2 linked regions of the Mus musculus genome follow. The protein of the gene in region 2 purifies or fractionates together with the protein of the main gene of each other region. This does not show direct contact. Links are inferred from orthologs where the notes say so. Each region holds a gene or a part of one and is shown on either strand. Other genes may lie near its edges. The genes, in order: U2af2 and Hnrnpf.

Region 1 (14,702 bases), on a different chromosome or scaffold from region 2:
CTGCTTGAGGTGTGAGCCACCACCACCAGGCTCTAAACAGTTCTAAGTGAATTACTTGTAACAGTCTTCTGAGGACAAAATAGTTTTCTGTTTATTGAGCAGGAAACTGAGGCTCATTTAGTTTTTATTTTTATTTTCTCTTAAGAGAAAATGCTCCAAGCATTAGTTGGAAAGCTGGAGCTGAGTTGAAATGGAGCAGTGTGTATATATAGCATGTGGCTTGGGTTATGCTAGGTGCCTAACTAGCTATAATTGGTATTGTGAAGATAGGTGGATTTTGGCTCAAATAGACTGGTGTTGTTATAGAAGGGTGGGTAAAGTGGATGGCAAATTTTACTCCCTCATGAGACCTGGGTAGTGTAGATTTGACTTTCATTCAAGGAAGGGGAAAATGGATGTTAAAGCTAAGTTCCTGCTTTTGTGTAGATCTCTGACTGCAAAGCCAGTTCCTTGTAGTTCTCGAGTGTCCCTGCTGATGTTGGCAACAGGGCCTGAGACCTGGCCTAGAAGGGCCAGTTGTTGGAGTTGTGTACATAAGACAACTACATTATAGCGTTTTGAGCAAGTGAAGTTTCCTTTTCTTAACTGTCCAGCATCATTATGTGGGAGAAGGTTCTTGTCTTGCTGGAAGAAAGCTTGACCACTTTGTCACCTTGCTTGCCTATGGGTATTTGTCTCTGACCCAGCCTCACTCTATCTCAACTTTAGCCCCCTTCTCAGTTCCTTAAGTCTACTGGGAGTTTGTGTCCTAGGCCCTTGGTATTGTCACTTCATCTCTGGGGTTCTTTGTTTTTGAGACTTAGCAGCAGGGAAGACATTTGGGATTTGTAAGTGGCCCCTCTTCGTGGTGTGGAGCCAGAGCTGCCTGGTTCTGTGCTTGTCTCAATATTCCACAGTTCTTGCCTCTGTCTAGCTCTTGATTGTTTTATTTTATTCTTTGCATGTATGCATGCAAATTCTTTTCTGTTAGTAGTTGAACCCAGACTCTGTACTGAATGTTTTTTGCTTGGTATTCATTCCAGAATACAGCCTGGTACCTAACTTACTTGCATTACAATTTCAGTCTGGGCTTCACTGCTTTTTTTTCTTTCCCCGAGACAGGGTTTCTCTATGTAGCCCTGGCTGTCCTGGAACTCACTTTGTAGACCAGGCTGGCCTCGAACTCAGAAATCGGCCTGCCTCTGCCTCCCAAGTGCGCCACCACGCTGGGCTTTTTTTTTTTTTTTTTGCTTTTTTAGTATTAGTAAAGGAGTTAAAGATTTCAAATTTTCCTACTTACTGCAACAGAAAAATACATAATATAAATGTGAGGTGAGTTTAAAATCTACTTTGAAAATTTTCTCATTGATTTTTTTTTTTTTTTTTTTTTTCCTACTGCCAATCTTAGAAGTCAATACTTTTGGGATACACCTGTTTCGGTTCTTGAGTATGTTTGTTTTTGAGATAGGATCTTAATTTAACTCACTAGCCAACTCTTTTTCTTTTCCTGTGTCAGCCTGCCACATGCCTCATCACTCCTGGTTGTGTTGCTCTGTATGGGTGCGTGGGTTGATGGTTGAGAGATCGGTGGTACTTTGGAATTAAGAAAATGTATTAAGGCGATCCTGGTTTAGCGTCTACCTGAAGTGGGTAGTCTGCAGAATAGGAGTTATATTGTGTTTTGGTTTAAGTTGGAACCCAACTAATGTACCTCTAGCTGGTATGGAACTTGCTATGTAGACCAGGTTGGCCTTGAACTCTCAGATCCACCTGCCTGCCTTTGCCCTCTGAGGCTTTGTAGTTTTTCTTGCAAGGCTGTGCTCTGTTATTAGTAGCCATGGCCTCTAAGGCAAAGAAGCAAAGGAAACAGTAGATAATGGTGAAGACACAGGTTCTTATTCTAGCCCACCCTGCTTTTGGCTTTGAGGGAGTGAGGTAGCCAGGGGCTGGTGGATGCGGCTTTCTGGACCATGAGTTGAAATGTTTGGGAGGTATCTTTTCCTTCCTTTCTGTACATTTAGAAAGAAGCCCCTCCCTTTCAGAGGGTGTTTACTCTTGCATTATTCACCTGGCTGGGAAGGGATGGAATTGAGTTTCCTCACTTCTTAAGGTTACTAGGTCTGCCTGGCACCTGACCCTGGGGTCTGATGGTGGGGCTTGTGGGTACCAGCTGGTTGCAGAGGTTTTTCCTGAGGGTTTGGTGGGTTTCTTCAGGAAAACATCATTGGGTCTCTTGATTCCCCAGCCTCTAGCCCTGCCCCTCTCAGGGACGACCCTGAGGTCAGGCCCCTCAGCCCTCGAGGGGGAACAGGAGCCAGCTTCCTCTGTCTTCTCTGGCTCCTCAGCTCCTCTTGAGCATCTTCAGGTATCTTACACCCCGGGGGCATTTCCAGGCCCTGACCCTTTGGTTCCTCAGAGTCCTTGTAGACTCGTGTGTGGACCCAGGAGGCCTGTTGTCTCCTTTTATTAAAATCCCTTCCCTTGGGGGGGAGGCCTCCCTGGGTCTTGGTATAGCCACCAGCACGCAGGGTGGGCTGGGCCTGCACTTTCTCTTCACTCATTCCATCTCTTCTCACACTTGTCCAGAGCGGGACAAGGAGAATCGGCACAGGAAGCGTAGTCACAGTCGCTCTCGAAGCCGAGATCGAAAGCGCAGGAGCAGGAGCCGAGATCGGCGCAACCGGGACCAGCGCAGTGCCTCTCGGGATAGGAGACGACGAAGGTACTAGAGCTCTGGAACCTCTGGCTGGATGACTGGTCTCTGTGTTGGTACTGCTTGGTCTATCTTGAACTCCGTTTTCTCTGTTTATGGGATTTCTTTCAGTTTCTCTGGCAGTGCTAAAGGACTGCTGGGGGCAGTAGTTCCTGGGGACAGAGACTTTTTTTTTCCCTTTTCCTCTCTCTAAGGGCAAGGCTGTCCCTGTCTTTAAGGGCCCAGTTAATGTTTTGTTCTCTCATTCTGTTTGGGGCTGTTTTGAAGCCCTGTTTCTTCTTCTTCCGATGTGTTCTGGGAGTAGGGCAGGCTGTACCTGAAGCCTGAGCCTTAATTTTCCAGCTCAGGGCTATTGGTTTAGTTATTTAGAGTTATCTTCCTTTCCTGGGTTCCCTCATTCTTTCTGTTCCTTCTAGGTAAGGAGGTGTGGGATATATGAAGAGCCTCCTTCCTTATCTCAGTTTCTCCATAGAGTGGCATAGTCTCTTCCTGCTTATTACTTCCTCTTTCCTGGGAATGGTAGGGTTGGGGGGCTTGGCAGGGCTGAGGGGGCCAGCATGTTCCTCGGTCCTGCCTTGGTCTTGGGGTTCAGTGACCTTGGGCATGGTGTGTTGTGTGGGGAAGACAAAGGTCCCCAGTCACTCCTCCCCATACCTTTCCCTTTCCCTCCCACCCCTCAGCAAACCTTTGACCAGAGGCGCTAAAGAGGAGCACGGTGGATTGATGTGAGCTTCTCTTCCTGCCCCTTCTGCCCCATGTCCACTCCCTTATCTCCTTCCTCACCTGTGCAATTTGCCTGCCTTGCATCCCCACCCTGGCCCTAGCACTGGGGAAGAGGCTCATCTGCCAGTGTCCCTCCTCAGGCCCAGGCCCAGCTCTCCCTCCTGGAGAGAGTGGAGCTTATGTGTGGGAGGGTGTGGTGGGCTGGGAGGTGTTCCCTTATGGGACTTGGAGGCCCAGTGTTGGTCAGACTGAGGTTGCCCTGCCCCACTTTCCCCCTCCCCCCTTCCCCAGTCGTTCTCCCCGCCATGAGAAGAAGAAGAAGGTGCGTAAATACTGGGACGTGCCACCGCCTGGCTTTGAGCACATCACCCCAATGCAGTACAAGGCCATGCAAGGTAGGCCTCTCCCTCCCATAGACTGTTGTAGGGGTTAAAATATTGTGTGTGTGTGTGTGTGTGTGTGTGTGTGTGTGTGTGTTAGGAGTTAAAGTTCTGTGTGAGAACATGTTTGGTGAATCTGAAGGATCATACTCAAAGGCTTCTGGTACCTACCATGGGAAGCGCTGCTGCAGGAGGGAATGTCTTCCACAGTGGGCCGCTTAGGAAATCAGACTTCTTAGTAGTGGGTATTGGATGGGGCCCCACTGCTGAGTTGACTTGGGTGATTGAAGAGCTTCCTGAAATCATCGTCTGGAGGGTGGCTGGGTAGGGTCAGTGTACACTGAGTGGTCCTGGTTTTAGGGTTGCTGATGGTTTTTACTCTCTATACCTCTCTTGAAGCTGCGGGTCAGATTCCAGCCACTGCCCTTCTCCCGACCATGACTCCTGATGGTCTGGCTGTGACCCCAACGCCAGTGCCTGTGGTTGGGAGCCAGATGACCAGACAGGCCAGACGTCTCTACGTGGGCAACATCCCTTTTGGCATTACTGAGGTACTGCCCTCCTCCTACCCCTGCCCTCTCCCCTGTTTCCCCACCCTGTGCCTCCCCACCCTCCATTCCCTTTCCCCAACCTGCACGCGTCAGACTCTGTTCCTGCAAGACCCCCCGGCCCCCTCCCAGACGGACGGATGGAGTTGAGCCAGCCAGGGGCCGGGCTGGGGGTGGCCCCTCCCTCCCTCCTCTTCCCCTCTCCCGTCTCCCTTTCCCCAACCTCCTCCAGCAACCCAGGGATCAAACACACACATAACGTACCCACCTACATATTGTACCTACGTGTTGGAGAGAGACAGAGAGGGAGACTCAACACACGTACAAACAGACGCACGCCCCTACAGTTTTCTGACATGCTCTCCTTTTCTGCCGTCTATCCACATCCTTTTCCCCACATCCCTCCCATGGTCGCTGTTCTTTTGTTTTTGGTAGTCCTGACCTCCCCCACCTTCCCCACCGCTCCTCTCCCCCATCCCTCTCCCCCACCCCTTCCCGTGGCACCCCCTGAGAATCCCGAGATCAAAGAGTTGTTTCCATTTCTCTTTAAAGTGAAATATTGTGGGGCTGAGATCCCTCGTAGCAACAAAAAGTTTGCTACCATCGTTGAAGGCAAGTAAGGTCCATTCTGACTTTCTCAACCTGCACTTTGCTACATTTGATAAACCAGCCCCCGGACTCCAGGGCCAGATCCCTCCACATCACTCTTTTCTCCTCCCCTCCCGCCCTACCCCTTCTTCCCCTGCTCCTCCACCCCTCCCCGCCCCTGCACTCTACTTGTTCTGCCTCTCTGGGCACCCTTCCTGTCCCTTTGCTTGTCTTTCTCTTCCTGCCTGTTGCTCTCCTACCCTTTCCTGCCTTGTTTGCAATGGGCATTTCTTCCTTGTGTCATCATGTTTTTTGTTTTTGTTTTTTTTTCCTCTTGCTGTCACATCCTTTCATCTTTTCTTGAATAACTTTTCCTAACTTTTTGGGCTCCATGGCTCATCCCTCATGCCTGTCCTCCTGTCTGGCCCATTTGCTCCCTGTCTCCTGTCCTTTGGTATTGCTTCTTCTCTGTTTTCTCATTTTCCTCCTGCATTTTTTCCTACTATTGACCTCTACACCCCTGACCCATATTCCACTGTCCCTTTCCCTCCCCGTTCTCCCTTCCCCCATTCCTCTCCCCTTACCCCCAAACCCCTCTGTGTCTCCCTCTCTCACCCTTCCCCTCCTCTCTCCACCTCCCTCCCCGCCCTTCCCTGTCTCCTATTCCCTCTGCAGGAGGCTATGATGGACTTCTTCAACGCCCAGATGCGCTTGGGAGGGTTGACTCAGGCCCCTGGCAACCCAGTCTTGGCTGTGCAGATAAATCAAGACAAGAATTTTGCCTTTTTGGAGGTGAGTTTTCCAGTGATAAGGGTAAGGGGTAGTAGGGATGGTCTGTGCTGCCTACTCTGACTGCTTTCCCTGCAGCTCATTTTCCATTTGGCTGCTGGAGTAGTTCTGTAGTCCTGTCCTACCTTATGCCTTCCTATGCTCTACCTCACTGGGAGGACTTTGTGGCTTCTTCCTGCTTTGTTGGTTTTTGAGACTATTCTGGCCCAGTCCACTCTGCTTAGGCTACATTGATCTTGCAGAGGGCTCGATGTTTCTCCCTATTTGGGGCCTAGGTTGAGGCAGTTTACTCTCGGTGTTTATACGTTACGTTTGGGCAGTTCGTTAGTTTGGAACTGTCTGTAAAGACCTAGCTCGACTCTGGGGTCATACTCCTAAAAACCGTGGGGTGTTGGCATGACCAAGGCTGCGGAAGAGGTTTTTCAGTGTTCCCTTTTCAGACTGCATTGCCCATAAGAGTCCACTTTGATTTGTACTCTTGGAGACTAATGTCACTTCATCAGAAAGCCTGGGCTGTCATTGCCACGTAACTTAGTTGACCTAACTTTTCTATGCTGGCTTCTCAGCAGTTGGTCCCTTTCCAACATTGTCAGAGTTTATGATAGTGTGCTTGCTATCTGCTGGGTGCGAGGATATTGCTTTCTAGAGTGTGAGCTTCTAGAAGCTATCTGGTAGTGCTTGTTCCCATTGTTCATTATGGGTTTGGTACTATGTTTGTTTATATAAGTGGGAGGAAAGTTAAGAGTCTTGGGGGCTGGTCTAGTCCCAACCTACCCCTTAGCTCTGTTGTTTCTCTTCCTTCAGTTCCGGTCAGTGGATGAGACGACCCAGGCCATGGCATTTGATGGCATCATCTTCCAGGGCCAGTCATTGAAGATTCGAAGGCCTCATGACTATCAGCCATTGCCTGGCATGTCAGAGAACCCCTCTGTTTATGTGCCTGGTGAGTGGGAATTCGTTGGGTGGGTGGTATGGGGAGTCACTGTTTCCTCAACCCAGGTTCCTGTACTTAGTCCAGCTAGAGTTGCTTTGGAGATAGTGTGTGTGCGCTGTGGATGTTCTTCTAGCTTGGCAGGTGTCCTGGGCCTTTGAGGTGGTGATCTGTGATCTTCAATCTTAAAGTTTAGCTTAGCTTGTAAATGTCAGAGCCAGGTCCAGATCAGAGGTGTCCTGGAAAGTGTGGGACTTGCAGTCTGGGCATTGTTTTTACCTTGTCCCCTTAGCCCTGGGATTTTAGGGCTTGATGTGTTGTGTATGCTATGTATTTGTAAGTACATATCAACAGATCTTTGCATGGTTCTGGTGTGTGGCCCTAGCATGTTAGTGTTCACTGATTCCATGTCTTTGGCATGTGTTCTGTACTGTTTCCTATAATTGTATATAGTATAACCTCTGATTGGTAGGTCACGATAGATCTTTACTGTTTAAGCTACAGACGGGGTCATTAGAAATTTGGATTTTTTGTGATCCCCCCCCCCCCCCCCCAATTCTGCACTAATCTTTCAGTGTTTAGCTGTAGTTTGCTGGCCTTTCCTTTGGCAGGTCAGGCGGGATGAGCTGGGATTTGCAGGCTGTATGACCCCTGCTGAGCTTCAGGAAACACTGGTGCTGGGGTCCAGCTGAGTCAGTGAGGCCCAGGTCTGAGGCTGATTGCAGTGAATGTGGGGTCCTCCGAGTAGATGCTCAGCATCAGAGGGTGCCCACTGGAACCAGGTCAAGTCACCCCTTCTCTATAGAGGAAGGAGCACATTTCTGGTAGTGTAGGACTTGGGGTTAGGGCCTGACTACCGAATGCTTTCTTACTGCAAGTTCTGGTCACATACCTGAGTCTAAAGCTAGCATGCTCTTGAAAGTATTGCTTGGAGAAGATTCACAGTGGTACTGGGGCTTGAACTCCAGTCCTTGTGCTTGTCAGGAAAGCACTTACTGTCTAACCTGAATCCCAAGCCCCTTTTTAAGTTCTCATTTTGAGGTAGGGTCTCACTAAGTTTGCCTAGACAGGCCTGGAACTTGGGGGCCTCCTTCCCCCAGCTGCATGGGTAGTTGGGATTATAGCCCTGTGCCACTAGGTCCTGCTTGCTTACTGACTTTCAGGTGAAGCTGTAGAACATCTTTTTTTTGTATCTCTTGGCACTAAATTCATTGTTTGGATTGCTCTTTAATTCCATGAATAGACAGCCACCTGCTGGTTTTACTGACACAGTGTGGCATGCCAGGTATTGCCTGTTCCTGAATCTTCTTTTAGCCTTCACTCAGCTAATTATGACTTGGAAGTCAGTTGTGACCCACTGCTTGGTTTTTTGTTGTTGTTGTTTGTTTTTCAAGACAGGGTTTCTCTGTGTAGCCCTTGCTGTCCTGGAACTCGATCTGTAGACCAGGCTGACCTCGAGCTCAGAAATGTCTCCCGAGTGCTGGGATTAAAGGTGTGCGCCACCACGCCTGGCCCACTGCTTGTTTTTACAAATAAATTTTGGCACAGTGTCATTCCTTTTATATTACTTTTATTACTGGTCTCATTGTGGTATTAGGAATTGAACTTAGAGCCTTGCATATGCTAAGCAGGTGGTTCGCCACATGGGGATACTCTCAGCCTTTTTACTAGTAGTTTGAGGCAGGCTTTCTCTGTGTTTCCCAGGGAGGCCTTGAACTTTGGATCTTCCTGCAGAGTTGGATTATAAGCTTGTACCAGCAGGCCTAGCTGTAGTTTTTTGACACATGGTATAACTGTATCTTAGACTGGCCTCTTAACTTGATTTTCTGCCCCCAGTATTGAGATCACAAGCATGTGCCACATCACATGTCGTGGATGGAATTGTCACTTTACAGAGGAGGAAAGCCAGGAGTGGTGAATAATAATAATTGTTCGTGATCACGAAATTCATAGGTTTTCTGGGCTGCACAGGTTGGCCTAGGAGTCCTAGCTCAGCTTTTCTCTGTACTCTTTCATGTTAAACTTTCTACTGAGAACATGTAGATAACAGGCATAGTTGCTTTGGGCCATGCTGTTAAGTGACGGGCCTCTTTCACAGGGAGTCTCTACATTGCTTCCATTAAACAATAGAAGGAAGATCAGTCCTGTGTTGTGTCTCTTTGGGATGTGCCTGTCTGAAGACCTGGCCCTCCAGGTCTGCCTGTGCTTCTGCACAAAATTACCACTTTGGAGGAGGCAGCAACAAGTGGAATTCTGTCTTGTTTTTTCAACTTCCACTTCCAGAGGAGAAAAACAAAGGTCACTAAATAAACTAGAGAGGAAAAGCATTTGATGAAATCCAATAAGTATTGATGATAGAGTTAAAAGATTTGTAAATTGGAAGGCTGATGTTCTTCCTGGGGAGAGAATGGACTGATAACTTACACTGACATCACCTGTAGTGGACGCTGCGCTTCATTTCTGTGGAAGTGAAGTTGTTGTTCTTAGTCACCAGTGTTAGCACCTTGTATCCCTGGATTAAGTGTAGCAGAATGCTTCTGTATGCGCCCTGTTTGTAGTGTGTTGGTCTCCCTTTTTCTCTAGCTGTAGACAGCAAAGAATTGAAGTTAGGACAACTGGCTTGGGTCCTACCTTGTTCTCCCTCTGAGAGAGAAGTGATAAGTCACAGTGATTACCAGATTGGGCTTGTGGTCCAGCTGCTGCCTTGCTGCTTACTTGTCAGAGACTGGTGCAGAGTCAAGCCTGCTGAGCTGCTTTAGAAAAGCTCTGTTGAAGTCACCCTTTTCCTACTCTTAGAACTTTACTTCTTTTGCTTTAAGCTAGGGCTTTTGTACCTAAGGTATGAGTCTTTTGCCTCCATATAAGTATATACTGTTTGGATGCCTGGTGTCTAAGGACATCAGACGAGAGTGACGAATTCCCTGGAACTGGAGTTAGGAGTGGTTATGAGTCCTCCTGTGGGTGCTGGGGAACTGAACCTGGGCCCCCTGGAAGAGCAGCAAGCACTGTTAACTGCTGAGCCAGCTCTTCAGCCCCAGATAGATTTTTAAAGTGGTTGTCCTCTGGCTTATGGCAGTACTGGATATGGCCTGGCTGTTAATGCTTCTGCTTGTCATAGTTGCACTGTAACTTAGGTCTGTTGCACAGTCTAGATAACTTGACTACTGGGGTGCACTTCTAATAGTTAGAAATAGCTGAATTGATGCTTGCAGTTCTTTGGGGCTAAAGAGTTATAGTGGGGCAGAGCCAGCCTAGAAGATGGGTGGGGCACAGTGACTCAGGTTCTGGGTGTGTCGAGTCATTATCTTGATGCTTTTGTACATTAGGATGGACCACTGCATTTAGCATGGGGGAGAGCTGAAAAGGGTAGCCATACAGAGTAGCCAGACTGATGCAGGGCTGAAAAGGGTAGCCATACAGAGTAGCCAGACTGATGCAGGGGCCTGATACTGACTCTAAGAATTAAATGCTAATATTGGTGAAGCTTGTGGGGTGTGCTAAGAAACATCTGGCCGTCACTTCTATGTGAGTTGAGTAGAGAAGTGGTGCAGACTCCCTCAGGTGATAGCACCATGTAGTTATATTAGAGCTTTAATGGATCCTGAACACAGCTTCGAAGAGTTGACCATTAGTCATCACTACAGTGGCAGTCAACACTGAGGCATGTTCTGAGACTCTGAGCAGCCTCTCAGCTCCTTGTCACATTACCTCAGAATGCAGGTCACCCCTGCAGGGGCTTATGGATACAGGGCAAAGGACTGAACAACCGAATGGGATGAGATGTTGGTGGGTGGTTGTCAGTTCTTCGGGAATGTTTCATGTTCAGTTGTTGGCTGGCCTATGCTTGTATACTTGTCAGAATAAGGGGATTTAGTGTGGCCTCCTCCCACCTTTACATGGTATCTTAAGTAGATAGGACCTGTGAATCCATGGTAGATTTTTTTTTTTTTTTTTTTGAGAGACTGATTCTTCTGCCTTAGCCTCCCCAAGTGCTGAAAAGACAAGTGTGTGTCACCAGTCACAGCTTTCTTCCTGGATGTTGGGAAATTACTTTGTATTGGAATTGAAGTCTTTATACATTTTTGTCTTTAGGAGTTGTATCCACTGTAGTCCCAGATTCTGCCCACAAGCTGTTCATCGGGGGTTTGCCCAATTACCTAAATGATGACCAGGTAAATCCTCTGCTCTTTTGCTAGCTACCTTTGTCAGCCTGACCAAACCCTGATGAATTTTTGGCCCTTTGTAGGTAAAAGAGCTGCTGACATCCTTTGGGCCTCTCAAGGCCTTCAACTTGGTTAAGGATAGTGCCACAGGGCTCTCCAAGGGCTATGCCTTCTGTGAGTACGTGGACATCAACGTCACAGATCAGGTGAGTCTGAGTAGCTGCTCATTCCATCTGCCCTTAACCCTACTCTTATTTCTAACCTTAGGTATCCTCTCCTCAGGCTGTGGGGTGGGGTGGGGTGGGGTGGGGCAGGGTGTTTAGTCTTAAGCAAAGCCTTGTGGGGACTCATTCCTTTTCCCTTGGTTTTGCCTCTTTCCAATCTTAAAAGCCCTTTGCCTTTCATTCTTTCCCCACCAATGCCTGGTCCTTTGGTTCCTGACCTGTTGCTTTTCCTGCACCCTTTCCACCCTTTGTCCTCTGACCATAGGCCATTGCGGGGCTGAATGGGATGCAGCTAGGGGACAAGAAGCTGCTTGTCCAGAGGGCGAGTGTGGGAGCCAAGAATGCCACGCTGGTGAGCCTCCCGGCACGTCATCTTCCATTGGCTAGAGGGACCCTGGGGGTGGGAAGGGTTGGATGGGTAGGTTTTCTTGAGTTCTGCCCCAGTTTTCATGGGAGGGGATTTGGGCACTGGGTTCATAAGTGCTTAAGTAGAGGAATGGTCCCACTAGTTGGGTGTAAGAGGCACAGGCTTGAATGGAGGGAGGCTAGTCTGAGCCATTTTGTGACAGATCTGTTCTCCCTGACCCCACAGAGCACCATCAATCAGACACCTGTGACCCTTCAAGTGCCCGGCCTGATGAGCTCTCAGGTGCAGATGGGCGGTCACCCAACTGAGGTCCTGTGCCTCATGAACATGGTGCTGCCTGAGGAGCTGCTGGACGATGAGGAGTATGAGGAGATTGTAGAGGACGTACGAGACGAGTGCAGCAAGTATGGGTTGGTCAAATCCATTGAAATTCCCCGCCCCGTGGACGGCGTCGAGGTGCCTGGCTGTGGAAAGGTCAGGGTGCCCTTTTATCTTTTGTGAACAAATCCCTTAGCACCCTGTCTCTCTCAGTACCTGACTAGTTCTGAACAAGGGTGACGCAGAGGACCCTGAGAGGATCAAGGTCTCCTGGGGTCTTGGGGCCTATAGTGGAGAAATTGATTTCTATATATTGATGCTATGTGTGTGTCTCTGTCTGTCTATCTATCTATATGGTGTGTGTGTGTGTGTGTGTGTGTATATGTGTATATATATATATATGTGTGTATATATATATATATATATATATATAAGTTCAAAACTTAGTTTTTCTCTTTCTTATGTGGGATCCTTTAGCAAGTAGCTTTTTGCCTTTTTTTTTTTTTTTTTTTTTTTGGTTTTTCGAGATAGGGTTTCTCTGTGTAGCCCTGGCTGTCCTGGAACTCATTGTGTAGTCCAGGCCGGTCTTGAACTCAGAAATCCGCCTGCCTCTGCCTCCCAAGTGCTGGGATTAAAGGAGTGCACCACCACACCCAGCTTAGCTTTGCCTTTTTTGTTGGTAAGATGTTACTACATATAGTTTTCTTACTATCTACGTGCCTTGAAGCTGCATCTGTGTTCTTCTTTCACTGGCTTCTGAACCTCTTTTTAGAGTGTGGTACAAAGGTGACAACCACACACAGCTAGGCATCACATGTTTGTAGTCTAGATTTCAGAGGCTCCTGAGTTACCACCTCTACACTATGGTAGGTTTAGATAAGCTTTGCATGTCCACCTTGGAAGGTGCTGCTGAGGGGTTGCTGGTGTTCTTATTCTGCCATTAGAAGATTTGGCTGTGAATAGAGCTCTTACCCACAAACAGCGGGGGACACTTTGCTAGGGTGCTGTGTTGGGCAGTAGCAGGAAAGGGTGGGTATCAGAGTTGCTACATGCCTTTATTTTTCTTTCTGGTACTAAAGATAGAATTCATGGCCTTATTGTAGCTAACTAAGCAAGTGCTTTATCCCTGAGCCACTTCCATAGACCCAAGTTCTGGTTTTAGATAGGTGCCTGTCCTAGGCAGATGGACAGAAGCAGAGACTTTAGGTAGGATTGCTGTGTGTGTGGTTGGGGTTAGGGTATATTCAATGTAGGGACTTGCTTTTGCCCCTGTAGAGCTAATTGCTACATTGCAGGAGTATGAATGAGATGAGGCCAGGATGTTCAGCCATTGGTTTTTAGGAACTCTTGTTATGGCTGAAAGGACCATGAGCAGGATTTGAGAGAAGAGGCCAATTTTGCAAGAGGATTATGGAGGTCCTTATGAACTTGAGGAAGAAGCCTAGGGTTTTCTTGTAGAGGAGTGGAGCTTCACAGATAGAAGGAAGCTGATGTAATGCTAGCTCTTTGATAATGTATGGAGAGTGCCGAGTCATGAGTCAGGTGATCCATGGGGTTGCCTGTATTAGTATAAGAGAAAGATGGTGGCCTGCTTTAAAGTATGTCTTGTGCTGGGAGATAAAACTGTTTAGTCAAGGTGATATTATCTAGTGAAAACATACAGGTTGTATGCCCCATAAAACTTGAAGTGGCGAAATTGCCCAGTGACATTCAGAATATCTCTGTGTCCATAGTGATGTGGTGACTATAATGGGCAATGAGAAATGGATGAGTTTGTGGAGATGGGAGTGACAGGTGAGGTGGAGCCATTTTTAGGCCTACTGCCTCTGAGGTTACTTAGATATCCTAATAGAGTCAGCTAGGAAGCAGTTAGCTGGGTAGATGGGAACTCCCAAGTGGGTGAGGATTGATAGAAACTCAGACATGGGGAGGCTGGGCAGGTTTCAAATGAATCTTGGGAATGCAGCAGAGGTCTGGTGCAGTAGTCAAAAGGAAGAAGACTATCTGACTAAAAAAGCCTCTTGACTGCTTCTTTGCCTGTATTTGATATGCCACTCTTTCTGATTCAGGCTGGCACCTTAATGGAAGCCTGCCTTAAATGGGGATTGAGTAAATAAATACAGGATCTCTGAATGCACAGACTGGCCTCTTGAGCGGCTAACTCTTTGTCGGGGGGAGAGAGTGTATTGATTTTCATTTGAGATGGGGTTTTACTATGGTGCCTCAGCTTGGCTAGCTTTGAACTAGTGTCACTTAGCTACCATATTAACCTTTGTTCTATTCTTAAACTTCTAAAAGTATATGAGATTGATGCTGATGCTTAGTGTATATTATCCAGCTTTAAGTTATCAATATTGGGGGGGGGGGTTGTTTCTGCTTTGAGATGGGGTTTTACTGCATAGTCCCTACTGATCTTGGGCTAGTGATCTTGCCTCAGCCTCCCTGCTGGGATTGCAGATGTGTATCCTCACACCTGGATTATGCAGTGAGTACTTAAAGCTTAAAGAGTACTTAAAGCTTAAAGAGTAGGTGCTAGCTACACTTCTGTGTTAACAGACAGTGCTTATTATCTCTGTCCCCAGAACCAGCGGGCTAAACCCATAACCTTGGTTTTTTTAAAGAATGCTATTATAGTAAAACAGTCTTCATTTAATTCCTTGGTGTCTAGTCTACCTAAGTTCTGTTTAAATGTTACTATCTCTAAAATGTCTTGTTTCAGTAAGGTCCAAATCCTGATTTTGGTTGCAGTTTCTTTTTAACAGATTTTTTAAAAAGATTTATTTAATGTATGTGAGTACACTGTCGCTGCCAGACCCACCTGAAAACGTCATCGGATCCCATTAGAGATGGTTGTGAGCCACTGTGTGGTTGCTGTGAATTGAACTCAGAACCGCTGGAAGAGCAGTCAGTGCTCTTAACTGTTGAGCCCTCTCTCTCCAGCCCCTTTTAACTCACTTGTTTTTGTTTTTGTGCAAGCAT
Region 2 (15,407 bases):
ATCCCAGCAACCACATGGTGGTTCACAACCATCCATAAAAAGATCTGACTCCCTCTTCTGGATTGTCTGAAGACAGCTACAGTGTACTTACATATAATAAATAAATTAATCTTAAAAAAAAAAAAAAGAAGTTGGTTTTCAACAGACAAATCCTAGAAACAGTTGTGAGGTAGTAAGACTTAAGATTTATCTAGAAATTATCTATCTGCAGTGTATAGGAAAATGTCCATCACTGAAAATCTGTTGGAGCTAAATGGCAGTTCATTTCATTTTTTTCCTTTGTTTGAAATAGTCCATTATAAAAATGCTACCAATCCCCAAAGTCTTGCTTATAAAAACTCAAATTTGAGTATGTTAGTTCAAGTAGGCCTAACTCAAACCCTAGGTTCTATCCCTACCACCAAATAAACCTAGTATGGTGACTGAGGAGTTCAAGTGTTTGTATGTGCCAAAGCACTTGAAGACAGAAAGCTCAGAAACTCACACCTAGTGGTAAAGGTGACTGTGGCAAAGCCTGACCACTTCTTGAAGCAAACATGGTGAAGAGAACTGACTTTTACAAAGCTATCCTCACATAGAGGGAAAAAATGAATAAGGGTTGAGGGGTGGCCAACAATCAAGAGGCAGTGCCCAGCCTGGTCAACATAGCCAAAGCTACAAAGCAAGATGCTATCTGTTCTCAATAAGCAGTTTAAGATCATCCCCTGGAATACTGAATTCCAGGCCAGACAGGGGTTACAGGAGACCACACCTAATAAAAAATCACCTAATCTTAAGATTCTAAATCCCGTCATCAAAAGTAGATAAATAATTCATATTATGAAGTGAAACAGTACTAAATGAAAATTTGAGCCTTGTAGGACAGCACAGACATAATTTTTACATGTTTAAGGCCCTCTGTGAGGACCCCATGGCTGAGAAAGAGAAATCTAGGTTGTTTCTACCAAGAGTACTACTACTTAGGTCTTAGGAAAAAAATCTTGGTGTATTGTATTACTTACCTAAATATGTGTGGCACTTAGGTAGTTGAATGTAATACCTTCTTCAATTAACTGGTTTGTGACTTAGCATGTATCACTAGTGTTCAGTTTCTTACCGTAAGAGAGAAAAAAGATATACACTGACAGAAAAGTGAGTTTAAGTCAGCTTCAGAGGTGAGCGCACCTATGAAGTCTTAATATGGTACTTTGTATTCTAAAATCAATGTTTTGTTTGGTTTTGTAGCACAGGCTAGCCTTAAAACTCTTGATTCTCTACCACTACCTCCCTAGTGGTACAGATCATATCATTTCACAAGGCTAACTCAGGAGATGTCAAGGCCAGCCTAGACTACATACAATAGGTTCAAAACCAGCCTGAGCTACAAGATTTGGGGGGGGGGGATGTGTGTGCGCGCGTGCACACACACACACACACATCACAGTTATTTGCATAAATTGTACACATATATGTGTCTCACTAAAAATACTGCATACTTACAAAATGCAGGCACTAGCTCACACCTGTAAATCTAACACTTCCAAAGTACTGGGATCAGGAGATCCAGGTCATCCACCACCACAAAGGTGAGGGACACAGTCAAGTCAGCCTGGGCTGAAACCGGGTTAAATCTTTTTTGAAAAGATGGTATGGAGGCATGCTGTTTTTTAATCCCAGCACTAGGAAGGCAGACAGATTTTAAAAGGGGTTAGGAAAAAGGGATAATATGTAGCCAGGTTCACCTCAAACTTTACAGGTACCTTTTTGTTGAGACTAGACCTTGAAGAGTCTAGGCTTGCCTGTAAGTTGTGTCCTGGCTGTCTCCGCCTCCCAAATGATGGGAGGGACTACAGGTATGCAACCATAGCAGATCCATCTTTTTAGCTGTATTTTCTGGTGCTTGGGAATGGAGTGGGATCATAGCCAAGGTCTTGTGCATGTTAGGCAAGCACTCAAATCACTGAGAAAACTCAGTCCTATACTAGCTATACTTAGTTCAATTCAGGAAGTCAATCATTTCTTCCTGTCATGATCTCACCTAGAAATTAAGACATGTACCAATATATACATACTGCACTTAGTTTCTCAGAAATGGGTCTAAACTAAGAAGTCTGACCCAATGGGTACTACATTTCAAGTCCAACACACTACTCTAAAATATAGTAAATAAAGGCCAAGAAGCTAACAAACAATTAAGTGTTACTCCAGCACTGTTTGTATTTACCAAAGGTAAGTCACGGGCTACAAAAAAAAACGAAGACACTGTTTTCCATCTTCTAACTACGAAGACTTTTTAAATTAACTTACTATATCTATTTCCCTTTATGTTCATTTCACAAAGCCTACGCTACTATAAAAAAAAATTCTTAATACTGACATAGATCCATATCTTTTAGGCTTACATTAAAAGTAACCAAATGCCGGGCGTGGTGGCGCACGCCTTTAATCACAGCACTTGGGAGGCAGAGGCAGACAGATCTCTGAGTTCGAGGCCAGCCTGGTCTACAGAGTGAGTTCCAGAACAGCCAGGGCTATACAGAGAAACCATGTCTCGAAATAAAATAAATAAAGAAATGAATGAATGAATGTAACCAAATGGACAAATTACGAAAAAGTAGAACACATTCATTACACTGAAACTACAAACTGAATTTCTTCTGAGATCATGTCTCATAAGCTATCCCTCAAATTGGTTATGTAGCTAATACCTTGTAAGAAGTCCTTATCCTCCAGCCTCCATCCCAAATACACACACACCACCAACTGGTCTATTGCTTGCTACCTTCATATATGTCTTAAGAACTAAGAAATCTATAGTAACAATGGAAAATAAGACAAATGTAGTCAAACTATGAAGCTCACTTATGTTTATGATTAAAGTATTGTCAGTAGACCTTCTGTCAATTGACTTGAAAATTCTATTTAGATTGGCTGGTACCTCTCCCCCCCATAGCAGCGGAGAAATGCATGTGTTGTGTAAACTGCTATAAAGAAACTACAACTAAAACGGTAGGACAAACACAGATCATGAGCCCCGTTGCCCTCTAACTCTTTTCCATAATAGTCAGTCACGGGCTAGAACTAAATAGGTTCAGGGGTCTCTGAACAGACCTCCATACCATATCAGAAAAGGATGGGTGATTCCTCAGGAGACCACAGAACACTTTACCAGGTCTCCTGTAACTTTCTACAGGAGCTTTATTTAAAAAAAAAAGGGGGGGGGGGCTACTGTAAACTCTAAAAGCCACAATACACTGCTTCTAGGATGGAGAATTACAGATGTAAGAGGAGAATGGAGCTAAGAAACTTGAGTGTAAGAGTGGCTCTAGCAGGGACAATTACCATACTTTGAATGTAGGCAGTTTCAGGGAACAAATGCCTAACACCACCATTAATATTTTAAGGAGAAATTACAAAACAGCACTTAAAGATGCCGTACTATGGAATCAAAACTTCTTAATATTTAAACATTTCCTTTTTATTTTTAAGATTTTATAATTTCACATGTATCTTGTATGCACCCATACTTTGTATTCAAGTACACATGCGTGACTCCTACCAATACATTCCTACATATGGTTGTTAGTCACCATATGGGTGCTAGGAATTGAACCAGGTTATTCTTAACCTATGCCATCTCTCCAGCCCCCTATTATTTCATAAAGTCTGAATATTTTACCTGTAGATATGTATATGCACTGCAAATGCTACTTAATGCCTGCAGAGCTCAGCCAATCTCCTTCAAAAGAGGAGTTAGAAAATATCATTTGGACATTGGAAAAAGAAGAAAAAAAAAAATCAAACCCAGGTTCTGGATAAGAGAAACAAATGTTCTTCAGGGGCTATGCTATCTTTCCATTTCCAGTACCTGAATTTTTTTATTCTATCAAAGTACTCTGGATTCTGGATTTACTATGGTGTCCTGTATGTTGAGGTTACATGCAAGCTACTCCTCTATCGCCACTCAATTTTGACTTAAATTTGAGTAAATACCAAGAACAATGGTCTTCCTAGAAAAAACTTGAAAATGAGATTTCTGGAAATATACTTTTAAAAGGGGGTGATGGGTAGGGGTCTTGTTTTTCAAGATAGGATTGGTTTCTCTGTGTAGCCCTGGCTGTCCTGGAACTTGGTTTTGCAGGACAGGGAGGCTTCAACAAATTCAGGGATCTATTTGACTGCCTCAGCCTTCCTAGTGGGAAATTAAAGGTCCTGCCTCTGTACCACCACCATTCCTGGCAATAAAAAACAAGGTCTTACTGCAGAGGATGGCTAGCCCAGAACTTGCACCTATCCTTTTGCTTCTGCTTCAAATCATCAACATACAAAGCAGTTAACACCTTGACTAAGTGGGAGCAATAATATCTCAAAATTTTAACCATTACTCTAAACCTACCAACTCAGGAGGCAACCACAGATGAGAATCTGATGTTCTAGCAAGCCAGGGCTACATGGTAAAGCCACGTCTTAAAAAAAAAGAAAAGAAAAGAAAAGAAAAGGAAAGGAAAGAAAAAGGAAAGGAAAGGAAAGGAAAGGAAAGGAAAGGAAAGAAAAGAAAAGAAAAGAAAAGAAAAGAAAAGAAAAGAAAAGAAAAAGAAAAGAAAAAAAATTAACCATTACATATATATTAATGGAAACAAAGCAAGATCTAAATGTTTTGTAAGAAACGCTATGTTGGCCCCTCACTCAAGATAGGACCTTGCAAACAATATGCTAACAAATGAAATGTGAAGTTGATGGCATATTAAGAACTAGTCGGGCAATGGTGGCGCATGCCTTTAATCCCAGCACGTGGGAGGCAGAGGCAGGCGGATTTCTGAGTTCGAGGCCAGCCTGGTCTACAGAGTGAGTTCCAGGACAGCCAGAGCTACAGAGAAACCCTGTCTCCAAAAACAGAATTTAAAACAAACAAACAAACAAACAAACAAACTAGACATTAAGTCTATAGGCCTCCACTAACTCAAATAGAAATAATCTGATAATCAGAACACCCAGACTGTAATGGTAATCTTACATTGGAATCCCAGCACCTGACCAGCAGGAGTTCAAACCTGGGCTACACAGGCATCTCTCTGGGTACATGGACACAGTGACTTTACATGTGGCACTCCTGCACTCAATCTTAGCAGTGGAAGGAAGACTAAAGCAAGCATACTCCACTTTTTGAAATTGAGAAGGAGCTAAATTGTTGTATTCACCTTTAATCCCATCACTTGGGAGTCAGGGGCAGCCCAATCTCTAAATTCAGGGACAACCTGGTCTACAGAGTGAGTTCTAAGACAGCCAAGGCTACACAGACAAACCCCGTTTCAGAACATCAGAGGGGAAAAAATTTAGACCCTAGGAGTAGTGGTATACACCCTTTAGTCCCAGCACTCAAGAAATAGCAGAAGGTTCTGAGTTTAAAGCCAGCCGGATCTAAAGAACTAGCCACAGGTCAGCCAGAGCTACAACATAGAGACCCTGTCTCAAAAGCAAAATAAATAAAATTTTTAAGAGAAAGGGATGATAGGCACCTGCTGAAATCCTGGTGACCCCAGTTTTATCCCAGAAGACACAGTAGCAAAGTGGGCCAAAAGCTGTTCTCTGACCTCTCCATGTTACTGGTATCATCTGCCCACAACCATTCACTTGTGGGTTACACAGAGAACTGAAATTTTTTTGGTAAGCAAATGGTCAGTAGTTTTATTTCGGCATTTACTAAAGTCTTAAATATAATCACATATAAAACAAACATTTCAGAGTTCCAGGACAGCCAGGGCTACAAAGAGAACCCTGTCTTGAAAATCCAAAAAGAACAAAATAACCCCCCCCCCAAACAAAACCAAACATCTCAAAAGTACAAAATACAGCCAGGCGTGGTAGTGTACACCTTTAATCCCAGCAATTGGGAGGCAGAGGTGGGCGGATTTCTGACTTCCAGGCCAGCCTGATCTAGAAAGTGAGTTCCAGGACAGCCACAGCCAGGGCTATACAGAGAAACCGTGTCTCGAAAAACAAAAGAAAGCTGTTACACACACACACACCCCCTTGTATTAGCTGTGCTTCGTGATACATGCCTTTAATGCCAGCAATTCACAGCACTATGGAAGCAAAAGTAGGTGTGTTGCTTGAGTTTGAAGCCAGCCTTATCTAAATATACAGTAATTTTGCGCCAAGGCGTAATATAATAGTTAGACCCTACCTCAAGAAACAAGTAATCACTTTTGCATTTACTTTTAGATCCAGTGTGCCCAGGCCTTCCTTCAAATCAAACCATGAATCTTTTTTAAAAATTACTACAAAAACGGGCATAATACAGACAGAATGGGGCTGACAAAGCGTGCCTAAAGCCTGCCATGCCCAGTAACTACTAATGGGGTGTGGTCGAGTTAGTACTCCAATCTAGAGGTGGAGCTGAGTGATCTGGAATTCAAGGTCATCCTCTGTGGCTACATAATGATTTGTAACTTAAAAAAAAAAAAAAAGGCTGGTAAGACTAATGGCAACACGAGGGAGATAAGAAAAGCAGAAAGTTCAAAATTTAAGTCAGGATTTGGTCTGTAAGACTGTTCTCAACTGAGATCTACCTCCGAGCGCTGAGCGCAAAAGCATGCATAGCCACCCGGCGTACTCAAAAGTACTTCGACATTGTTCAATGGGCTAACGCACTTTTTGCCAGACCTTAGCTACCTGCGCTCAGTCTGAATACACAGATGGAAGAACTGAACCACGTTTTGACCTCCACTCCGCAGCACGAAGGGAAGAAAGACTTAAGTATTAACTATTTCCAGATATCGTCTGTCTTGTTCAACTAGAAGAATTAAATATTTAAACCACCCCCTGGACAGAGCGATAGATCATTGTGACAGGGACCCTCAATTCAATCCCAAGGACCCAGTGCTGGAAAAATCCATTTCTTCACCTTATCCCCTCACCTCCACGCACAAATAAACATTAAAGGAAACCGACTAAAATAAGCCCAAAAGTTCCGTAAACAAAACTGCCCAGGTTCAGGAGACCGATCCCGCACAGCCACATGGCGGCCACCCGCGCTCGCTCGCCCGCTTACTCCGCAGCCCGACTTGCAGGTAGGAAAGAGGCCCATTTGTTTGTTCCCGGACTGGCAGGGGCAGAAAAGGTCGCTGGGTGGGAGTCTTAGGGCACATGGGGCTGCCTCTCCGATCCCGCCGGGTCGGGAAGGCTCCGGAGAGCACGCGCCGAGGGAAGGCCGAGCGGGCCCACCTCAACTTTTCCCAGACACGTGAGGCTCCACAAACACAGCACAAAAGTGCTCGTAACTGCGGCTAAGGCCGACTAACCCACCTAGGCAAAGACTCCGCACCCCACACGCTAACACGATACCTCTGGGGGACGGGACCGGCGCAGACCGGTGCTCCTAGCTCCCGGGCCGCCACGAGGAGGAAGCGAGGCGCTCGGCTTCGCTCGGGCCGGGCGTGGGCGGTGGGCGGAGCCGTCCCGCCCAGTCTTGTGAAACTCCGGGCGCCTCGGGCCACGTGAGCGCCCGCTCGTCTTTCTCCAAACTACAACCACCGCCCGGGCCTGCCGGGGGGCCGCTGACAGAGCGTAAGCCGCGGTGGGTGAGAAGCGCTCCACCCTCACCCCCCCCCCCAATATCCCGCCGAGGAAGCCGCGCCTGCGGGCGGGGTGGGGGGGCGGCTCTGAGGAAAGCCGCGCTTTCTCCGGGCGGGCGTGGGCCGCGGCTGCGGTCTCCCAGGCCCTCCGCACACCTCAGCCCAGAGGCCCGGCCCTACCGACCGGACTCCAGCCCTCAGTCCCCGCTCCCCCGACCGCACACCTCGGCCACGCGGCCCAATCCCCGTCGAAAATGCGCTGAACTTCGGCTCCCGACCCCAAACCCCGGCCACGCGGTCCCCAGCTCCGTGGGCAGCCTCCGCACGGCTATGGCTGTGCGGCGGCCACCTCGGCCCCGTTCCTTCCGAGTCCGGATCCCACGCCCGCCATCCAACGCCCGCCGGGCCCAGGCGCCAGCACACCCCGCCGGCGGCCCTCACCTCCGGCTTCTCGGCTCCACGCTCCCACTCACATCCGGACCTCGCCGGCCCTCAGAGCACCTAGAGGAGGGTGGAACCCCGGGGACTTGGCAGTTGTAGCTGAGGCAGTTGAGGCTTGTTTACTGTCACCATGGAAACCCCCACAGGCGCGCTCGCGGGACGGCCTCAGCGGGGCGAGTCAACCGCGCGGCCGGCCTGCTCCTCAACTCCCGCCTGCCGAGCGCCAGCGGCGCCTCCGGAAGCCCTCCTGATCCCCGGTCCGCTCCCCGCTCGGCCCACGCCCCGAGCACCCGGAAACAGTAGCCCGGGGAGCCCACTTTCCCTTCCCACAGCCGGCGTGACCGCGGGCTGGCCTTCCCCGAACCCCACCTTCAGGAAGACGAGGCGCAGTCCTCCTTCCACGACGGAGCCGGAAGGATGCAAGACGGTGATGGGGCGGAGCCTCAGGCAGCGGACATCCGGGCACAGGGCAGCCGCGGCGCCATTCTGACGAGCCCAGAACGGAGCCTAGGATTGGCCGGGGGAGGGAGAGGGGCGGGACTAGAGAGCTGTGGACCCGCCTCTGAGTCCCGGAGAGGACAGTGACGGCGCAGGCGCAAACATTGCGGGGGGGGGGTAGCAGGGGGAGGGGGCGGGCAAACGAGGGGGGGGGGGGAGACAGCAAGGTGGAGGGGGTTGTCCATAAAGAGACCTGTGGGCTGGTGAGTCGGTGGACGCTGAATTCTGCACGCGTGTCTCCGCATCCCGAAAAGTGATCCCAAAGGAATCAATGACCGCATGCGTGCGGAAAACTAGAATGGTGTCTTATGTAAAAGAAAGACCGCCTAAGGGCATCTCAGGCAGTCCGGAGGGATTTGTCTGAAGTTTCTAACTCTCAGCACTATGTGAACGCTGGGACAGATTTTCTTGATGTGTAATAATTTGGGAGGATTCTCTGCGAGATGTCGAGATACAAGCTAAAGTGAAGATTATTTTTGAAGCTTCCAGAGCCGCCTAGGCGGGCGTAGGAACACGAGCTGGTTCCTACGAACTCCATTTCTGCATGGAGGCGGCCGAGGCTACAATGCATGGTCGCGAGCTGCTGTCTATATAAACACTGGAGAAATTACAAGGCCGTTCAGAATAATCTCTGGTTATAAGTGAACTACAGTGATGAAGGAAACGTTTATAAAACAACACACCAGACTAACTCCAGAAAAAGGAAAGAAAACTTTGAGAGGAAAACCTGTCCAAGAAGAAAAATAGAAGTCAAATGATAGAAAACAGATGCTACAAAAGTTAGATAAGTATTCGTGAGCACTAAACCCAGAGCCTTGTAGTTGGCAAATTACATCCCCCACCTCTGATGTTTGTTTGTTTGTTTGCCCAGGGAGTGGGGCATTAAAATTGTTAAGTTCGTGCGAGTTATCACCACACTTTCAACTGAAGTCAGAGGACAATCCTGAGTGTTCTCTCCTTCCACCATGTGGGGTCCTGATCAAACTCAAGGTTGAAAGGCCTGTGCAGCAAGTTCTGCTGAGACCTCTCACCCTGCTCCTTGGGTGGTTTTATTTATTTTTAAAGTTCCTTACTATTGCCAGAGAAAGGTGCAAGTGACTTCTAACCTTGAAGAAGCCAGAGAGCAACTTTTCACAAGTATTTTCATTTCCCTTAGGTGAGTTCCAGGGGTCAAATTGAAGTTCCCAGATTTTTACAGCCAGAGGTTTCACTTTTGAGCTCCCTCTGTCTGACTGCAACCCAGGCTGGCTTCCAACTCTTGTTTTGTTTTGTATTGTTTCTTTTGGTTCCCCACACCCCCACCCTAAGACATGGTATCTCTGTTGTAAAGCTGGCTGTCCTGGAACTCACTATGGCTCCAATTCAGAGATCCACCGGCCCCTGCCTCCTGAGGCATAAAGTGAGAGATTAAAGGTGTGCCCAGCCACAACTGGTATTATTATTATTACTATTATTATTATTATTTTAGAAAAATAAAATGCAGAGAGGAATTGTCAAGGAAAAGAGTTACAATCTGTCCTGTTCCCTTACATTTAAATTGACACTTTAAATTTAAAGTTTTCAGATTCAGCAGATAGAGTGGCACAATACTTTAATCGCAGCACTCCTGAGGCAGAAGCAGGCAGATCTTTGTAAATTCTAGGCCAGTCTAGTCTACAGTGATCGTTCCAGGCCAGACAGTGCTACAAAGCTCTTTTACAGTCTCAAAAATAAAGAACTGAAGTGACCTTTCATCCTAGCACTGGAGAGGCAGAGGCAGGCAGATTTCTGAGTTCGAGGCCAGCCTGGTCTACAGAGTGAGTTCCAGGACAGCCGGGGCTACAGAGAAACCCTGTCTCGAAAAACTAAAAAATAAAAATAAAAAAAGCATAACAAATAAATGAATGTAAAATAAAAAGCAAAGTTTGAACATAGCAGGGTAAATGAGGGCAAGGGAGGTCACAGTTTTAGGTCCAGGTTATTCATATAGTTCAGGGGGTAAAGGCATTCACCACACAACTCTGGTGACTGGTGGCGTTTCATCCCCAGAATCCACATTTTAAAAAAGCCAGACGTGGTAATTCACATTTATATGCTGAGTCAAGATGGGAAGTGAAGAAGATTGGCCTGGAAGGTCAGTGGCCTGGACCATGCATCATGCCAAAAACGAGGGACCCTGCCTCCAAAAGGTGGAAGGAGAAAACCAACCCCCCAAAGTTAGCTTCCTGTACACACACACACACACACACACACACACACACACACACACGATAGACACATCACAATAGGTAATAAAATTTCAGGATCAGAAAGCTAACAAAATTGTTCTCTGTTTACATAAATTTCTCCAGAATACTGCTCCCTGTTATAGATTTCATAGTTTGAGCATGGCTGCATGTCGCCTTGACCCAGTTTTTATGCCCTAGCTAGATGCCAGTCTGCTCCTCTTGTTGCCACTGATGAATTCCATGAAGCCCCAGCCAGCTCCCTGATCAGGGCTCCTATACTATCCCGACTTGGATGAGAGCTGAGGACCAGACAACTAGAGAGCCACAAAGCCTCCAGGATTTACTCAGATGGCTAATCTTCAAGCTATACCCTGCTTAACCCCCATCCCCTCACCCCACCCCTGGAACAGCAGTGGAAATGTGTGCCCAGCGCTCCCCTTGCTCCTTCAGCCTCTTTTTTTTGAAATAGCATCTTGACTGTGTACCCAGGCAGGCCTTGGCCTAGACATCTTCCTGCCTTCTGAGTGCTGGGATTGTACATGTGTGCTACCATGCCTGGCTTCCCCTGGACCTCGTGAATTATCCAAGTAGCCCTGCACCAGGGTGCTGTGCTCACACCATATAACCAAGGACATTAGTCTCCTTCCCTGAATACCTGATTGTGTTATATGTCGTCGCAGTTACTCTGGTCCAACAAGCCCTGGTCCCGAAATGGGAAATTCTAGAGATAACTCGTTTTGTCTTGTGCCTTTTTCTGAGTAGCAGTGACATCTCAAGTCATCCTCCTTCCCACTCTGGCCCTCAACCATCCCTTTGTTCAGCATATTAGAATGCTGTACATTCTAACTTCCTATTAGTACAGTACAGTCAGATATGTTAAGCTAGATGTGGTGATTCACACTTGTAATCCCCAATACTCGGGACAAAAAGGATTGCTGCAAGTTCAAGGCTAGTTAGTGTTGGTCTATATAGGGAGTGTCAGGCCAACCTGGGTTACAAAGAGAAACCCAGTCAAAAAAACAAAAACAAAAAAACAAAAACAAAAACAAAGGACTGGAGAGATTTCTCTGCGGCTAAGAATACCTGCTGTTCAAAAAATAAAAAATAAAAAATAAATAAAAAGGCCAGGTGTGGTGGTGCACGCCTTTAATCCCAGCACTTGGGAGGCAGAGGCAGGGGAATGTCTGAGTTCAAGGCCAGCCTGGTCTACAGAGTGAGTTCCAGGACAGCCAGGGCTACACAGAGAAACCCTGTCTCGAACCAACCCCCCCCACCCCAAATACCTGCTGTTCTTCAAGAGTACCAGAGTTTGACTTCTAGCACCCAGGTCTGTTGGCTCACAACTGCCTGCGATGCCAGCTGATAGGGTAGAAGGTTGGTTAGGTGATCCAACTCCAACTCCCTGCTCTGGCCTCCACTACCACCACACATACACAAATAATAAAAAAGTAAAGACAGTATATGTGTATATGATGTGCATGCACACACAGGGCTAATTTTCATTTTCAACTGCCAAGCATGTTTAAGAATCTTTCCTTACCATGTCCTGAGAGTCTTGGCACCTATACCTGACGGGGTGATCAATGGAACAAAAAGGGTAGACACCATAGAAGGACAGACTCATGTACACACAGAAAAGCTGGGGACAGGGGAGTTGTGCTTATTTATGGAGCCACACCTACTACTGCAGCCTCTCCCCACTGCCCCGCAACATCCTGGAGGTTATCTAAGCCCAGGGGTTGGGGCTAGCTAGTCTCAGGAGAAGGTCTCAGTAGGCGCAGTTCCAGGTAATAGGCACCCGACCCAGGAGGAGAGAACTACCATGGCTAGTTTTTGCATACACTGCCAACATTCCCACTCAGACTAAGGGAAGGTGTTCCCAATTCCCAGCCTGCCCAACATGAGAAAGGCTTTGCTAGTTTCCAGTGGGTCTGAGGGCTTGGTTCCTGACTTGGTTATGCCTATGCCCACTGTACATAACCACCCGAGGCATGATCTGCTCCTCAGTTTAGCAGACGAGGAAGACCCACTATGAATGGCAACGGGACAAGGTTTAATAAATAGCGGCGGGGTGGGGGTGGGGTGGGGAGGGGTTACACAGACATGCAGGCAGAACAGTCATACACATAAAAGAAATCCTTTTTAACTTTTAAAAGGCACAGAAGAGAAAGCAAGTGAGTGCCAGCAACCATCTCTCTCTCTCTGACTCTGGGTTACAGACTTAATGCATCCACTTAGTGCACCCTGCCTTCTGTTCCTGCCCCCAGAGCTCACAGCCATTCTCAACATGTGCTCAGGCCCAGAACGATAGACTGTAGCCTGAAACTGAGCCAAAACCAACCCTCCCTAAGTCGCTTCTTAAAGCTATTTGATAACAGCAGCAAGATAGAAATATTTGAGAGGGACTACAGTTGTATAACTTATATTGCCATACATTATTTTTAGACAGGATCTTTTTCTCTCTTTTGTTTTCATTTGTTTGTTTGTTTTTGATTTTGAGACAGGATTTCCCTGTGTAGCTCTGGGTGTCCTGGAACTCGATTTGCAGACCAGGCTGGCTGAAATTCACAGAGATCCACCTGCCTCTGCTTTTAGTACACTACCAAACCTGAAAGACAGGATTTTTTTTTTTTTTCCGTGACAGAGTTTCTCTGTATAGCCCTAGCTGACCTGGAACTCACTTTGTAGACCAGGCTGGCCTCGAACTCAGAAATCCACCTGCCTCTGCCTCTGCCTCTGCCTCCCAAGTGCTGGGATCAAAGGCGTGCGCCACCACACCCCGCGATTTTTTTTTTTTTTAAGATTTATTTAAGCCATCTCACCAGCCCTGGTCTATACAGTTAATTCCAGACCAGCCAGGACTACATAGACTCTATTTCAAAGAATCAAATTAGCTAAGTTTGGCACCATATCCCTTTAATGCCAGAACTCTGGAGGCAAAAGCAGGTAGATATAGGTAGATATCTGTTAGTTTGAGGCCAGCCTGGTCTACCTACTAAATACCAGGTATGCCAGAGCTATATTATATCTTGAGATTCTGGCTCATTTTTTTTTTTTTTTTTTTAGGAAGGAAAAAAGAAGATTGGGATGGTAAAAGATTCAACTAGGCCATGACACCACCACCACCAAAAAGATAAGCAAGCCAGAGAAACCTAGGGAGATGGCTCAGTACATAGTGTTTGTTGCTCAAGCATGAGGACCTCAGCTTGGATCCCCAACAGGCACTTAAAAAGGGTGGCCAGTGAATTTCCATATCCCAGATACTGGGCTTTGGAGACAGGAGGAGGCAGGAAGAAATGGGCTTTCTGGCCAGACAGTCTAGCTGAACCCATGAGCTCCAAGTTCAGTGAGAGACCACCTCAGGAAATAAGCGAGAGACTGAGGAACTCAAGTGCCATTGATCAGTGACCTGTATACACACACACACACACACACACACACACACACGTTGGGGGATGGGGGAACACAACCAAATCAAATAGGACTCCAGCTTCCAGTGGACAAAGCCAACTTTCCTCAGAAGCTAGAATGCCTGCCCTCAGGTGCCATTAGCCTTCCCACCAGCCAGCTGCTCACAGAGCATCCCTAGATGTTGCAAAGTCACTATGGCTGTGTCCTACAGAGCATTTCCTGAACCACAATACCCAGAATGCCCTGCTGGCGATAGGGTTGCAGAGATTGGGAAACATTTGGAGGAGCGGCACCTTGGTGTCTGTGGCCTGCAGCAGTTGCCATTCTCTAACTATAGTTTTGGCTCCTGGTGCCCCCCACCCCCCACCCACCCACGCCTTGGAAACGCAGGGCAGGGGACTGAGTCACTTGGTGTAGGAGGCCCGCCTTCTACACACCCCACTACTAAACTCAGAGAACAGTTTCCAAGCCTGCTTCTCTGTGTTCCCTCTGTTGTGTAAGGACAAATCACTATAGCAGCCCATGCATACATTTCCTGTGGCTGTTTCTCCCTTTAATCCCTAACAGGTAAAGGAAAGGTCGTTACCTGGTCTAACTAGATGACATACGCCATGCTTCAGCAACTGGGGCTCACTCACAAGCTAGGGAGCCTCCTCCTCCTCCGGTCCCCAGTTGATTTCCTCCCTCCGTTGTTTTTTTTTGTTTTGTTTTTCTTCAGGCTCTAGCGGATGTAGCTCAAGTTGGTCTCAGACTCAATGCTCCACCTGCCTCCACTTCCTCAGCAGAAGCACAGGGACTTCCGGTGTGCAGCCCCAACTTCACAGAGTTCTCCCAGCCGTGCTGCTGAGAGGTGAATGTGGTTATCTGACAAGTGTTGAGTCGCCTGTCTTGAAATGCAGAAGCCTTCTGAGCCGATAAGGTGTTGTCTTTGAGACCGTTTTCGTGTAGCCCAGGCTGGACCTAACTTTCTATGTAGATGTGGATGACCATGACAATTTTTTTGTTTTGTTTTTTGAGACAGGTTTTCTCTGTGCAGCCCTGGCTGTCCTGGAACTCACTCTGTAGACCAGGCTGGCCTCAAACTCAGAAATCTGCCTGCCTCTGCCTCCCAAGTGTGGGGATTAAAGGCATGCGCCACCACTGCCTGGCTTTTTTAGCTTTTCAAAGCAGAGTTTCTTTGCATAGCCCTGGCTTACTCACTCTGTAGACCAGGCTGGCCTCAAACTCAGAGGCCTACCTGCCTCTGCCTCCCACTGCTAGGATCAAAGGGGTGCACCACCATAAGGGGCTGGGCTTA

The links.
Region 1: the proteins of Hnrnpf (region 2) and U2af2 fractionate together in Homo sapiens (co-fractionation; 3 studies listed by BioGRID, with this or other methods). This does not show direct contact. The link is inferred for Mus musculus from reciprocal best matches to the Homo sapiens genes HNRNPF and U2AF2.

The regions. Positions count from the first base shown.
Region 1 is NC_000073.6:5,063,838-5,078,539, forward strand, and holds part of U2af2 (splicing factor U2AF 65 kDa subunit), read left to right. Parts: intron 1-2,224; exon of another isoform or gene 2,225-2,344; intron 2,345-2,565; coding exon 2,566-2,701; intron 2,702-3,372; coding exon 3,373-3,417; intron 3,418-3,706; coding exon 3,707-3,810; intron 3,811-4,194; coding exon 4,195-4,346; intron 4,347-4,895; exon of another isoform or gene 4,896-4,955; intron 4,956-5,606; coding exon 5,607-5,723; intron 5,724-6,524; coding exon 6,525-6,663; intron 6,664-10,743; coding exon 10,744-10,823; intron 10,824-10,897; coding exon 10,898-11,020; intron 11,021-11,303; coding exon 11,304-11,390; coding exon of another isoform or gene 11,391-11,402; intron 11,403-11,630; coding exon 11,631-11,879; intron 11,880-14,702. UniProt on the Homo sapiens protein: Plays a role in pre-mRNA splicing and 3'-end processing. By recruiting PRPF19 and the PRP19C/Prp19 complex/NTC/Nineteen complex to the RNA polymerase II C-terminal domain (CTD), and thereby pre-mRNA, may couple transcription to splicing.
Region 2 is NC_000072.6:117,899,796-117,915,202, reverse strand, and holds the start of Hnrnpf (heterogeneous nuclear ribonucleoprotein F), read right to left. Parts: upstream 8,422-15,407; 5' UTR 8,364-8,421; exon of another isoform or gene 8,094-8,363; coding exon of another isoform or gene 7,362-8,093; exon of another isoform or gene 7,285-7,361; intron 7,100-7,284; coding exon of another isoform or gene 6,998-7,099; intron 4,403-6,997; exon of another isoform or gene 1-4,402. Other genes in the region: uncharacterized protein 4933440N22Rik, read left to right, coding at 6,998-7,099, 7,362-8,093.